Rattus norvegicus: one gene and its partners. The protein of the gene in region 3 purifies or fractionates together with the protein of the main gene of each other region. This does not show direct contact. Links are inferred from orthologs where the notes say so. Each region holds a gene or a part of one and is shown on either strand. Other genes may lie near its edges.

Region 1 (3,500 bases), on a different chromosome or scaffold from region 3:
TTGTTAAATGTCACTCATTAAAACTAAAGAAATAAAGAAACTGTTTAGTATAGAATAGAATTTTCTAGGCACAATAACTCAAATTCTTTTAAAATGTTTTAGAAAAAAAATTGAGACTTTAGCTATTGTAGGATAAAAGAGTGTATCCTTTAACTGTGACGGACAAGAGAACTGCAGGCCTAGAAGACAGAAGCTCACCCTTAACACATGCTCTGTAAGACAGGAACTTCCATACTGAAAAATGTTTCCTTCATCAATCAAGGAAAAAAAAAAAGAGAGAGAGAGAGAGAGAGAATGAGACCTGAGAGCCTTCCAATGTTGTTACCCAGTTAATCATTACTACGTAAGACACAGCAAGAGACCAGTCTGCACTGAGTTGATGAAACTGTAATGGGTTTCCTATTCGTGGTGAGAGTTTTATAATCAGTTTTTCAGATAGTTTAGAGTACCACAGTTCAAAAGGCATTTACAATTTATCCATTATAAAGTCAGGCTAATATCCTAATTAAAAACCCATATAATGACAAATTAATCTGGTAATCAGTGACAGCAACAGAGCTCAGTTTTTGTTTCAGAACAACTAAGTAATTACAACAGGACTTTCAACTGTTGCATTACCAAATTCTCCTTTGTGTGCTTGGGACTGAGTCCAGGCCTCCATGCTTGCACAGCATTTGCTTACTGTCAGGTTATTAAGCTACATTCTGTATTGTTACCATGTTTTCAGATGTAAGCTAATAGAACCTGGGGTTGGCAAATACAGCTTGGTCTACAGAGTGAGTGCAAGGACAGCCAGGAATACAGAGAAAGCCTGTCTTGAAAAATCCTGCCAACCAACAAACAAAACATGCCATCAAATATCTTTATCGATGAAAAGCTCTTCAAGGCTTAACACTGAATACATATCTCAACAACTCCAAGGTCAAATCACTATCATTTTCCACGGAAGTACAGTCACCAACCATTAGGGAAACAAGAAAGGCAGGCGTTCAGGCTTCTATCCTGAGGAATTTTGGTATTCAGAGTAAAGCTAAGAGTTGTCAGAGTTACCCTGGACTCTCTTAGCAGTTTACAGAGAGGTACAAATTCTGACTAGAGTTGTTTTGTTTCCATACTATTTTGAAAACATGTCACATGGGGTTCATAAGTATTACCTTGACTTGTTTCCTGCCTGGGAGAGGGTCTTCGCTCAGGATCTTCACGATCACTCCAGTCACGAACTGCGGGCCCTGTGCACTGACCTTCTCCTGGGTGGAGCACTGCTGACCACTGCCTGCTGCTGTGAGAGGAAAGAGGCACAGGTAACTTCCTCACCCCTCACATTTCACATGAGAAGCACCATCCTCCAACAGCAGAGACTTCTCAGGCTAACTTAAGGAACTGAGAACTCGTGCAACTGGAAATTAGTATTAAGGAATCACATTGCTCATTGGAATCAATATGGAATAAAACGCATTATACATCTAAACCAAAGACTAAAAGTTGAATAGATATATGCCAATATAAACATAAGAATAATCAAAGCACACTACTCAAATGCGAGAATTTGTATTTGTATAATTTATAAGAACTTAACATCTTTACCAATACTACAGCAAGTGAGAATATGCTTTAATATGTTCCCACTTGGTGCACATCGCCCAGTAGACCTGCAGTCGCTCTTCCTCCCTCTAGGCACTCTGGAGTGAGCTCACAGGGGATGTAGGGAAAGAGTAGGCAGGCTGTTAAAACTTACTCGGTAATATAAACCTTCACATTTTTGTCTTTTCTTAAAAAATTTCTTTGGTAATGGTTCAGCTTAAACTGGGGAAGCACTCTATCACTGCTATGAAGCCACCCTTGAAAACATTTATAGACTAAAGCCTGCTCTTTGGTGTAAATAGCCAAATGACACTGCATGAGCTTCACCCTTTCAGTCCCCACTGCAGACTTACGAGGCGCTTTGGACTCTGTCTCCATTTCCGACTCCAATTTTATTTGAGATATTGTTTTTTTTAGAGAAGCCATGCTAGCTTTTTGCAGTGCCAAATACTCTTTTTTCAAATCCATCCATTCAGTCCTGTAAAACAAAAATTGAACTACTATAGTGACAAGACGACCCAGTCAGAAACCTGAGGTTGACTAGACATAATGCTCACAGTAACTCCAAGTCTTTCCCACTTTCCTTTTTTAAGGCACACATTTACATCATTTGTTAAGCCATAAATCTATCTTGCAAACACACAAAGGAAGTTTCTCTTCCTTAATACTCAAGGAAAATGCTTGAGGAGTTTCCTAGTTGTTTCTAATATTCAATTGTAAAATCACTTTTGAGTCACTTCCCTGAAGTAACAATTACTAAATCAGGCAACTTGCGGAAAAGGTAAGAGACTGAGATTCAAAGATTTCTCAAATTGCTTCCAATTTGAGAGATAACATTCCTTAGGATTTACTTAATTCAAAAGGAATTTCTGAGAAGAAAAAAACAGCCCGTGACAGCAGTTTATTTATTTACATACATTTAACATGTAGATGTGTCTTCAGGCAGCCAGGGCTCCCCCAGAGAAGCACAAAGCCTCCCGGGCTCTGTGGGGGTGCTCATTGTTACCCTAATCTGTGCCATCAAACAGGCAGATAGGGGATTTTTTTTAAAGAGGAGGATATCTTGTGGTAATGGTTTTAACAGTTAACATTGACATCTGTTTACTTCAAAAAAGGGGAAGAAAAAAAACCCAGACCTACCCTGGAGCCCCAGGATCTACTTTCCCTGGGAGCTGATACATTAAAATAACAAAGGCCCTGAACCGATTCTCCACATAGAAAGCCCAAGGACTGCAGGAGCTGGGAGTCGTATAAATACCAGGTCTAAAGTCGCCGTCTTCCACCCTCCGAGGAGAGCGAGGAAGCAGGTCACCAAGGTAAGGTGAGTCTGCAGCCTGGTCCCTTCACGGCTCCGAGCCAGCGCTCCTCTAAGAAGCTGCCGGGCGGGCGGGCTCCCTTCCACTTTAACATGGGAATGCTTTCTGTCACATTGAAGAGTAAGTGCTGCCATGTTTTAGTAGAAGTGAACTCAAGGTTCCCTGGAGGAGTGAACACCTTGGCGTCTGGTGGGAGTCCCCTCTGCTTTAACATGGGATTACCTGCCTCCATGTTTCAGTGGGGGTGTCTTCAAACTCTTCACCATTCTCTTTAAAATGCTGCAGTCAAGAGCCTGGCAACTTCGTAAGTATAAAGACTGGGCTTCCCACCACTTAAACGTGGTTGTCCTTGCTTTGGAACGAAGAAAGTAAGTGCTTCCATGTTTGGGTGATGGTAAGTTTTCCTTTATCCTCACGCCTTTAAGAACCTCACTGGAGTCTGCGTAAGGGGCCTCCTTCACTTTAACATGGAGGCCCTCGCTGTGCCTTTAAAATAAGTGCTTCCAGGTTTGAGTGTGGTGGCTCCTGCTTACTCCCTGGGCGGCATGAGGACCAAGGCCGTCACTGCTGCTAATCTGCAACTCTGTTGAGCACACACTGGAA
Region 2 (3,500 bases), on a different chromosome or scaffold from region 3:
TAAGTCACCACACTGGGCTAGAAGTATTTTCTTATAGTTGTGATGTTTCCCTGATATTTTTAGTTATAAATGTGATAAACCACTCTGAGCAAATCTGGACTGAATGGGTTCTCCAACAGCAACTGCTTAACAGAAATCTAAGGTAGAAAGACCTTCCTTCCCTTCTCACCCCTGAGAGCCCAAGTTGTACACTATATAGTACAACAAGCAGCAAAGCTAGGCAGCCCCTGCTAGGGACCATGGTGAGGAAGGAAAGCTGTGAGGACCACCACATGGCAGGTACCAAATGATACAGTAAGACAGCTTGGTGTCTGCATGTGTATGCTCAGAGAACTCCAAAAGACCAAATGGAACCACATGGGCATGTGGTGCTCTTGGGTTGCCCTGGGTGTATCCCTGACCATTCAGGAAAGAAATATCAATTATTTCAAATGATTCAGGGGACACAAGACCTTTACTAATCAAGTAAAATGGTTATCTACATAGTGTCTGTTTGCCAAAAGATACTTCATTAAAGTTAAATGCATAATTATTATCAAAAAGACTTTATTCAGCAGCTAATGAGGGCAGATGTAGAGCCTTGTAGCCAAATATTACTATGCAGCCCTAACTGGTTCTGAACTTGAAAATATCCTCCTGCCTCCTAAATCCTGGGATTATAGGCACTGTGCCCACTTGAAAATGGTAACTTTCCCCAGCTCCAAAAAAAAAAAAAAAAAAGAAAGAAAGAAAATGGTAACTTTGGAGGGGAAATGGAGGACTAGCGGTCAAGGCGTCTCAGAGCCTCAAGCACGCTGGCTGAGTACTCTACCTTTCAGTTATACCTCCAGCCCTAAACATAGAAACTCATTAGAAAATAGAAATAAAGTCAAATGAAAAACGGGATGACATTTAAAGGTGAAAAACAAGTCTGTTAAGATGTTATTACAGAGCAATAGGGAGACCTGAACAGGGAAGAAGTGATTCACAATGGAAAGCCAATTTATACATACAAAGGAAAAAAACTTTAAAATATTAGAACTGAAAATGTACTAAAAAAGAAAAAGTGACCATTAAACTAGAAACTGCACGGGCTGGAGAGATGGCTCAGTGGTTAAGAACATTGACTGCTCTTCCAGAGGTCCTGAGTTCAAATCCCAGCAATCACATGGTGGCTCATAACCATCTGTAATGAGATCTGATGCCCTCTTCTGGTGTGTCTGAAGACAGCTACAGTGTACTTTCATATAATACATAAATAAATAAATCTTTAAAAAAAAAAAACTAGAAACTGCACTAGAAAATGTACTTTGGTGGCATACACTTTTAATCTCAGCGCTGGGGAGGCAGAGGCAGGTAGATCTTGGTGAGTTCCAGGACAGCTAGGGTTACATAGGCTACAGAGGACAGAAAAGCCCTGTCTCAAAACACAAACAAAACAAACAAAAAATATACTAGTGTCTACTATACTTCCATCAAAGAGAACAGAACTAATTCTACGGAAGGGCCTAGAAACTGACAAGTCAACTTAAGGCTCTAACAAGAGGCACAAAGACACACTGCTGGAAGCGTAGGAGTGAGTGGTTAAACACAGCACATGTGTATAAGATATACCATTCTTATTTTGGCTGGTGCTGTTCTGGCTGGTTCTAGGTATGCAGCCCTGGCTAGACTAGGACTCACTAGGTGACCAGTCTAGCAACATTCCTGCTGCTTCTCTTGTCTCAAGAATTCTGGGAGTACAAACATGAGATACCCAACCTAGTTAATCAATATATTCTAAGGAATGTTTGGCAATATGGGAAAAAGATCAGTGGTTATATCAATTGTTGTCTCCAATAGGATTTGTGGAATTCTCTGAGGAAGAGAAAATGATTTCAGTCTTTTTATACTCTAATGTTCTTTAAATTATGGTATGTATGTTGATAAAAATAGTTTTCAATATTAATGTCTACCATCTTGATTCTGAAGAGATAAACCATGTATCACATGATTAATCATGGTAGTACTTGACTTTAACATTGAGTTAACGTTAGTACTGGGACAGAACCCAGGGACCCAGGCAGGCCCTACCACAGAGCTAAGCCCCAACCCCTTTGACACAAAATTCACCAGTCACTTTTCCAGTATGAGACTACTGGGCTTTAATATTTTATTTCTTAACTTTGTTCTTTTAGGTGATACTTTGTTCTTTCTCCTCTCACCTTTAAAAAGCCCTTTGATACCTCCCATCTTTTTGACCATCTGGGCAAACTTGGTATACTGTGTGAGAAGTTCTTGCACATCTCTTGTTGACACACCTGATCCCCGGGCAACTCTTTGGATTCTGCCTGGTTGCTTACTAAAAACCTTGGCACCATCTGTACTGTCCAGTTCTGCAGACAAAGACAAATAATTTCATCACATAAAATTATCATTCATTATCACAGTAGCCAAGCACTCTGCCTCTGTCCTAAAAATGGAAGCATATTTATTAGAAAATAGGAATAAAGACAAAACTTGAGACAAAACTTGGGACTGAAGAAGGAAAAAGTGACTAACAAAGGAAATTCAAACGGGCTTTTACAGATGGCTTTTAATTTTTTTATGTTTTAGATACAGGATCTCATATATCCCTCATATATCTCATATATCATAGATCCTCAAAATCTCTAGGAAGTTGAGGATGACCCTGAACTTCTGGTCTTCCTGCTTCTGTTTCTTGAGGGCTGGGATTGCAGTGTTTGATACTAGACCCTGTCTACTGGATTCCAGTGGAGACTCCTGTATGCTAGGCTAGCACTATACCAACTGAGCTATATCACCAACTCTCAGCTCTATGTGTGTGTGCGTGTGTGTGTGCCATATATGTGCTATAGGTGCAGGGGTGTGTGTGCCATATATGTGCTATGGCTGCTTGTGTGTGACATATATGTGTTATGGGTACGTGTGTGTGTGTGTGTATGAGACATATATGTGCTATAGGTGCAGGGGTGTGTGTGTGTGTGTGTGTGTGTGTGTGTGTGTGTGACGTATATGTGTGAACAGATGTGTACTCTCCAAATGTATCTGTTGGCATAGGATCTCTCAGTGAACGGGAAGCTTGACGTTTTGGGTAGGCTGATTGGTCAGCAAGCTCCAAGGATCCGCCTGTCTCCAAAACTCAGCAGAAGGGTTAGCGGAATACAGACATGCATAGATTCTGAGGATTTGAAATTCAGTCCTCTTGCTTCATAGCAAATATTCTCACTCCATGAGTCCTCTCCCCAGCTTGTTTCATTTTACAGAGATATTTTATTTCTCTGTACATTATAACATGTATAAAGAACAACATACATATAAATGATCAAATCACAAAACAGATTTAATAAATCCCAGGATTCATGAGACAAGAGGATCACTGTAAGTTTGAAGCCAGTTTGGACTACACAGCAACTTCTAGACAAGACAGGACTACATAGTACGACCTGGCTTTAAAGGGAAAATATCTGAGGACTTCTGAAACTTTACACCTGTCACCCTGCATTTTACATGTGCGTCCT
Region 3 (4,175 bases):
TAGAGTAAAGGGTGAAAAGATACTAAACATGTTGGGTACCAAAGGCAGAATTCCCTCACATAAATTCTAGAGACCAGACAAACTGTCTTCGTTAGCTCTCCAAGGATCAAATGGACTGGGGTTCAGACCCAGGGTTTCTACTTAAGTTTGGAGGCCACTAGGGTTTTCTCCCTGGGCAGCTTCTCCTCTGCTGTCTCCTTTCCATCACCACAACTCCCTGCAGCTACATCATCAAAGAGTCACTCCATGTGTGTTGCTGTCTTCTTACTAAATTCAGACAATGGATACTATGGTCAGTATCAGGCCCTTCTGGACAAATCTTATACACGGTACAGCACACTGCTCAACTGAGGAAATGATGTCAAAGCAAAGGACAGAGAGAAGAGCCATATGAAAGTACAAGAAGCCACCACTGTCACAAACTACACAACCTCATAGATACCTAGTTTACCTTGCCATTTATTATCACTTTGCACATGAAACCAATGAACTATCGTGTCAATGTTAAGAGCAATAGGATAATTAGTTTGAAGTGTCACCTTAGAAGGGAGCCTGCAGTTATCAGGTTGGCCTATGGGTATGAGCCGGCTGTCGTAACTGTCAATTGAGGTAGGAAGACAACCAACTTAGTGCTGGGCCCTGAACTGTATGAGTGGAGACAGCTAAGACTAAGTCAAGCAGAAGCCAGCAGGCTGCACGGCTGCACCGTCTCTCTGCTTCTGAGTATGGTTGTAGCAGTTCCGGGTTTCTGCCTTGACTTCCCTCAGACTATAACCTGGAATGATAACACAAATACATACTTTCTGCCCCATGCTTCTTTTGCCAGGGTGTTTCCTAGTAACAGAAAGGAAACTAGAACAAATGGCACCACATAAAGCCAGGAAGGGTGTTACACGCCTGTTATCCCAGCATTTGGGCTGCTGGAGAGGACCTTCAGTTCAAGGGCAGTTTGGGCTTAACATGGCCACCTCAAAAGACTTAGAAGGGAGGGGGGAACTAGTATCCAGAGTTCAAGATCATTCTCAACTACACAGGAAATTAATGAGGCCAATCTGGGACACGTGAGATGAGAGTATCTTAAAAAAATAACAAGAATGGCTCAAAATGTTCTACTGTCTATCCTGGTCTTCCTATAGTTCTAATGCCCCCCACCAATACATTTCTCCCCAACCCCACCCTAGACAGGGCCTCACTGTGTGGCCTAAACTGACCTCAAATTCTCTACTCTCCTCTCTTTAGCATCCTGAATGCTGGGATTACAGGTGTGCACCACCAGTCCCCTCCTGGGTCTAAGACCATTCATAATAGCAACTCGTCTTGCTGCAGGTGGACAAAGGTTTGGTTCTCAGCACCCACGTGGTGGCTCACAACCATTCCTAACTCCAGTTCTAGGGGATTCAATGCCCTCTTTTCCCATCAGACACCATAAACGCACAGGTAAAACACTGGTACACATAAGACTTAATGGATTAACCTTTTTTGCTGTTTTTTAAAAGGTTTATTTATTATATATAAGTACACTGTAGCTGTCTTCAGACACACCAGAAAAGGACATCAGATCTCATTACAGATGGTTGTGAGCCACCATGTGGTTGCTGGGAATTGAACTCAGGACCTCTGGAAGAGCAATCGGTGCTCTTAACCACTGAGCCATCTCTCCAGTCCCATGAATTAACCTTTTTAAAAGATGCTTCCTGTGGGCTGGAGAGATGGCTCCCTGTAAAAAGTCTGAGGTAAGTACTGCCACTACAAGTTGCCAGCTCCAATGTATTTTTACATTTTTACTTATTACTGTGTGTGTGTATGTATACGCGTGCATGTGTGATGTGTGATCAGAGGGCAACTCTGAGGAGTCGGTTCCCTCTTCCCGTTCTTAAGTGAGTTCTGCATGCTGAGCATCTATTCAGTACACACACACACACACACACACACACGCACACACGCAAACACACACACACACACACACACACACACACACGAATGCATCTACCTTACCTTCAACAACCCTTTAAGGAACGGTGAAATGTACCTTTGTGTCTCTCCCGGAACCTATTCTGGACTGGTAAATGGGAATGGGTAGTTCTGCTTTGGGGAATGAACCGTTTGCAAACATTTATGTCTAACGTATAAGTGCAAGCATTCACAAGGTTTCAACTGACCCACGGGGAAAAAAAAAACTAAAAATCCCCACTATCCAAAAAAAAGTGGAGTAGGTTCTTCCCAACTGGGACCGGAATTATCACCACTTTGTAAGTAGGTACTCTTGCGTCTTGGTGGGAAGGGAAAGGGGCACTAAAATACGTGACGGACAGGAAAGAGCCGGCGACACGTAAACCAACCAAATCCATAGCGGAAGTCAGGCGTTCCACCGGGTGCAGCCTGCTCTGGAGCCCGCCGCTGCGGAAAAGGCTCTGCCTGTGGTTGCTGGCGGAGCTTCCATGGGTCTCCGTGTCAGATGGAAGGAGACGAGAGAGGGCAGTGACACCGGTAGACCGATTCAGCTTCCTGGATGTGCACAGGTCGCGCCAAGGTTAGAGAAGACCCCAGTCCCGGGGCCGTCCCTGCAGCGACTCACCTTCATGGGGTCCGCCAAGTAGAGCTTCTCAGCCGCGCGGCTGAACTCCTCCCAGGTCTGGAACTGAGGCATCGCGGCTTCGGGCAGCGCGAAACGAGGCCGCGAAGCAAGAAACGCGCTGTCGCACTGACAGCCCACCGCTCTCCCGCAACCGCCCACAGCGCTGGACTCTGGCGGCCCAAAGATGGAGGCGCACTAGCGCTTGCGCCATTGGTCAGCCCCGGCCGCGCCGGTCCAATGGGCAGGAGGCATGCTGTTAGGGGGTGGGGCCTCCGCTCAGAGCGGTCGGGAGATGGGCGGGCGGCTGCCACAGCGCCGCCTGCAGGACTGGAGGGGTGGTGTCGGTGCTGCCTTTCCAGGCTATGATTGATTATAAAGTCAGGCTCTGGTTTTCCAAAGACTCAGCAGCTCTGTGACCCGGTACCCTAGTTGCAGTCGTGGTAATGACAAGGAACAGCTGTCACACTCAAAGCCTAATCACGGAGTTGGGAAGACATAACAGGAGCCCCACCAAAAGCTTTCTGTGATAGACTTTTGTATCGGGTCAGGGGAACAAAAAAGAGGTCACAGAGGTGAGACAAACTGAACTGGGAGTAGAGAAGGGCGAGACCTCTAGGCACATTTTAGATCTGCAGTGTACTTAAAATGGACAGTGTTTAAGGGAATGGAGTAAGAGGAGAAGCAAGGAGAGAAGGAAGCCACACTGTGGTGTCTGCTAGTATAAGAAATTTGAGTCTTCTCTTCAGGCAGTGTGTGGCACAGGATAGCTTTTAAAATAAATTTTACTGGGCTATTTTTTTATGTGTGCAGTAAATATCGGCTTTAAGAATAAATGATCAAGAGTTCTGAAAAAAATACATATACACACATCACACACCCACAGAGCATATACCTACTTGCCTAATGTCATAAGCAACGTATGGGGACGTTTTTCACATCTAGAAATCTCTTCGTGCTTCCTGATAATTCGTTCTCTCTGCCCTCACTCCTGGTCCCACAAATATGCTTTCTCTTACTATAAATTACATTTCCCTGTCCATTGGGCAGCTATAAACGGTTTTTTGTTTTGTTTTGTTTTGTCTTGTTTGGGGGTTTACAGTGCTGGGAAGTATGCATTCTAGGCAAGGTCTCTGCCATGGAGCTGAACCACGCTCTCTCCTCCCCATCTTACCTTCCCTCTTCCTGAGCTCTTCCTTTTCTTTTTTAATTTTATCTTTCCTCCTTTCCCCCCCCCCCCCCCCCCCGGAGCTGGGGACCGAACCCAGGGCCTTGCGCTCGCTAGGCAAGCGCTCTACCACTGAGCTAAATCCCCAACCCCTCTTTCCTCCTTTCTTTTTCTTTCATTTTTCTCTTCTTTCTTTCCTTTCATTCATTTTATTTCTCTTTTCTTCCTTCCTTTCTTTTATTCTTTCTTTTTCTTTAGTGTCATGAGTTTGAGGGAAGCCCCTGCTATTTAGACCAAGGCCAAACTTAGCTACTTAGAAAGACATTGTTTTTAAATAAATAAGCAAAAATTAATAAGAAGAATGATGGTGGTCCTAGAAAGAGAACATCATGATAGCTGGGCTAAATAAATAGTAATTATTTAGGTTTTTAGAAA

The links. The genes of interacting proteins can lie anywhere in the genome.
Region 1: the proteins of Srp9 (region 3) and Larp7 purify together in Homo sapiens (affinity purification with mass spectrometry; 3 studies listed by BioGRID and IntAct, with this or other methods). This does not show direct contact. The link is inferred for Rattus norvegicus from reciprocal best matches to the Homo sapiens genes SRP9 and LARP7.
Region 2: the proteins of Srp9 (region 3) and Srp54a purify together in Homo sapiens (co-immunoprecipitation; 4 studies listed by BioGRID and IntAct, counting the BioPlex papers as one, with this or other methods). This does not show direct contact. The link is inferred for Rattus norvegicus from reciprocal best matches to the Homo sapiens genes SRP9 and SRP54.

The regions. Positions count from the first base shown.
Region 1 is NC_086020.1:218,677,309-218,680,808, forward strand, and holds part of Larp7 (la-related protein 7), read right to left. Parts: intron 2,060-3,500; coding exon 1,935-2,059; intron 1,280-1,934; coding exon of another isoform or gene 1,277-1,279; coding exon 1,155-1,276; intron 1-1,154. UniProt on the Homo sapiens protein: RNA-binding protein that specifically binds distinct small nuclear RNA (snRNAs) and regulates their processing and function.
Region 2 is NC_086024.1:78,353,753-78,357,252, reverse strand, and holds part of Srp54a (signal recognition particle subunit SRP54), read right to left. Parts: intron 2,355-3,500; coding exon 2,184-2,354; intron 1-2,183. UniProt on the Homo sapiens protein: Component of the signal recognition particle (SRP) complex, a ribonucleoprotein complex that mediates the cotranslational targeting of secretory and membrane proteins to the endoplasmic reticulum (ER).
Region 3 is NC_086031.1:96,362,878-96,367,052, reverse strand, and holds the start of Srp9 (signal recognition particle 9 kDa protein), read right to left. Parts: upstream 2,801-4,175; 5' UTR 2,648-2,800; coding exon 2,576-2,647; intron 1-2,575. UniProt on the Homo sapiens protein: Component of the signal recognition particle (SRP) complex, a ribonucleoprotein complex that mediates the cotranslational targeting of secretory and membrane proteins to the endoplasmic reticulum (ER).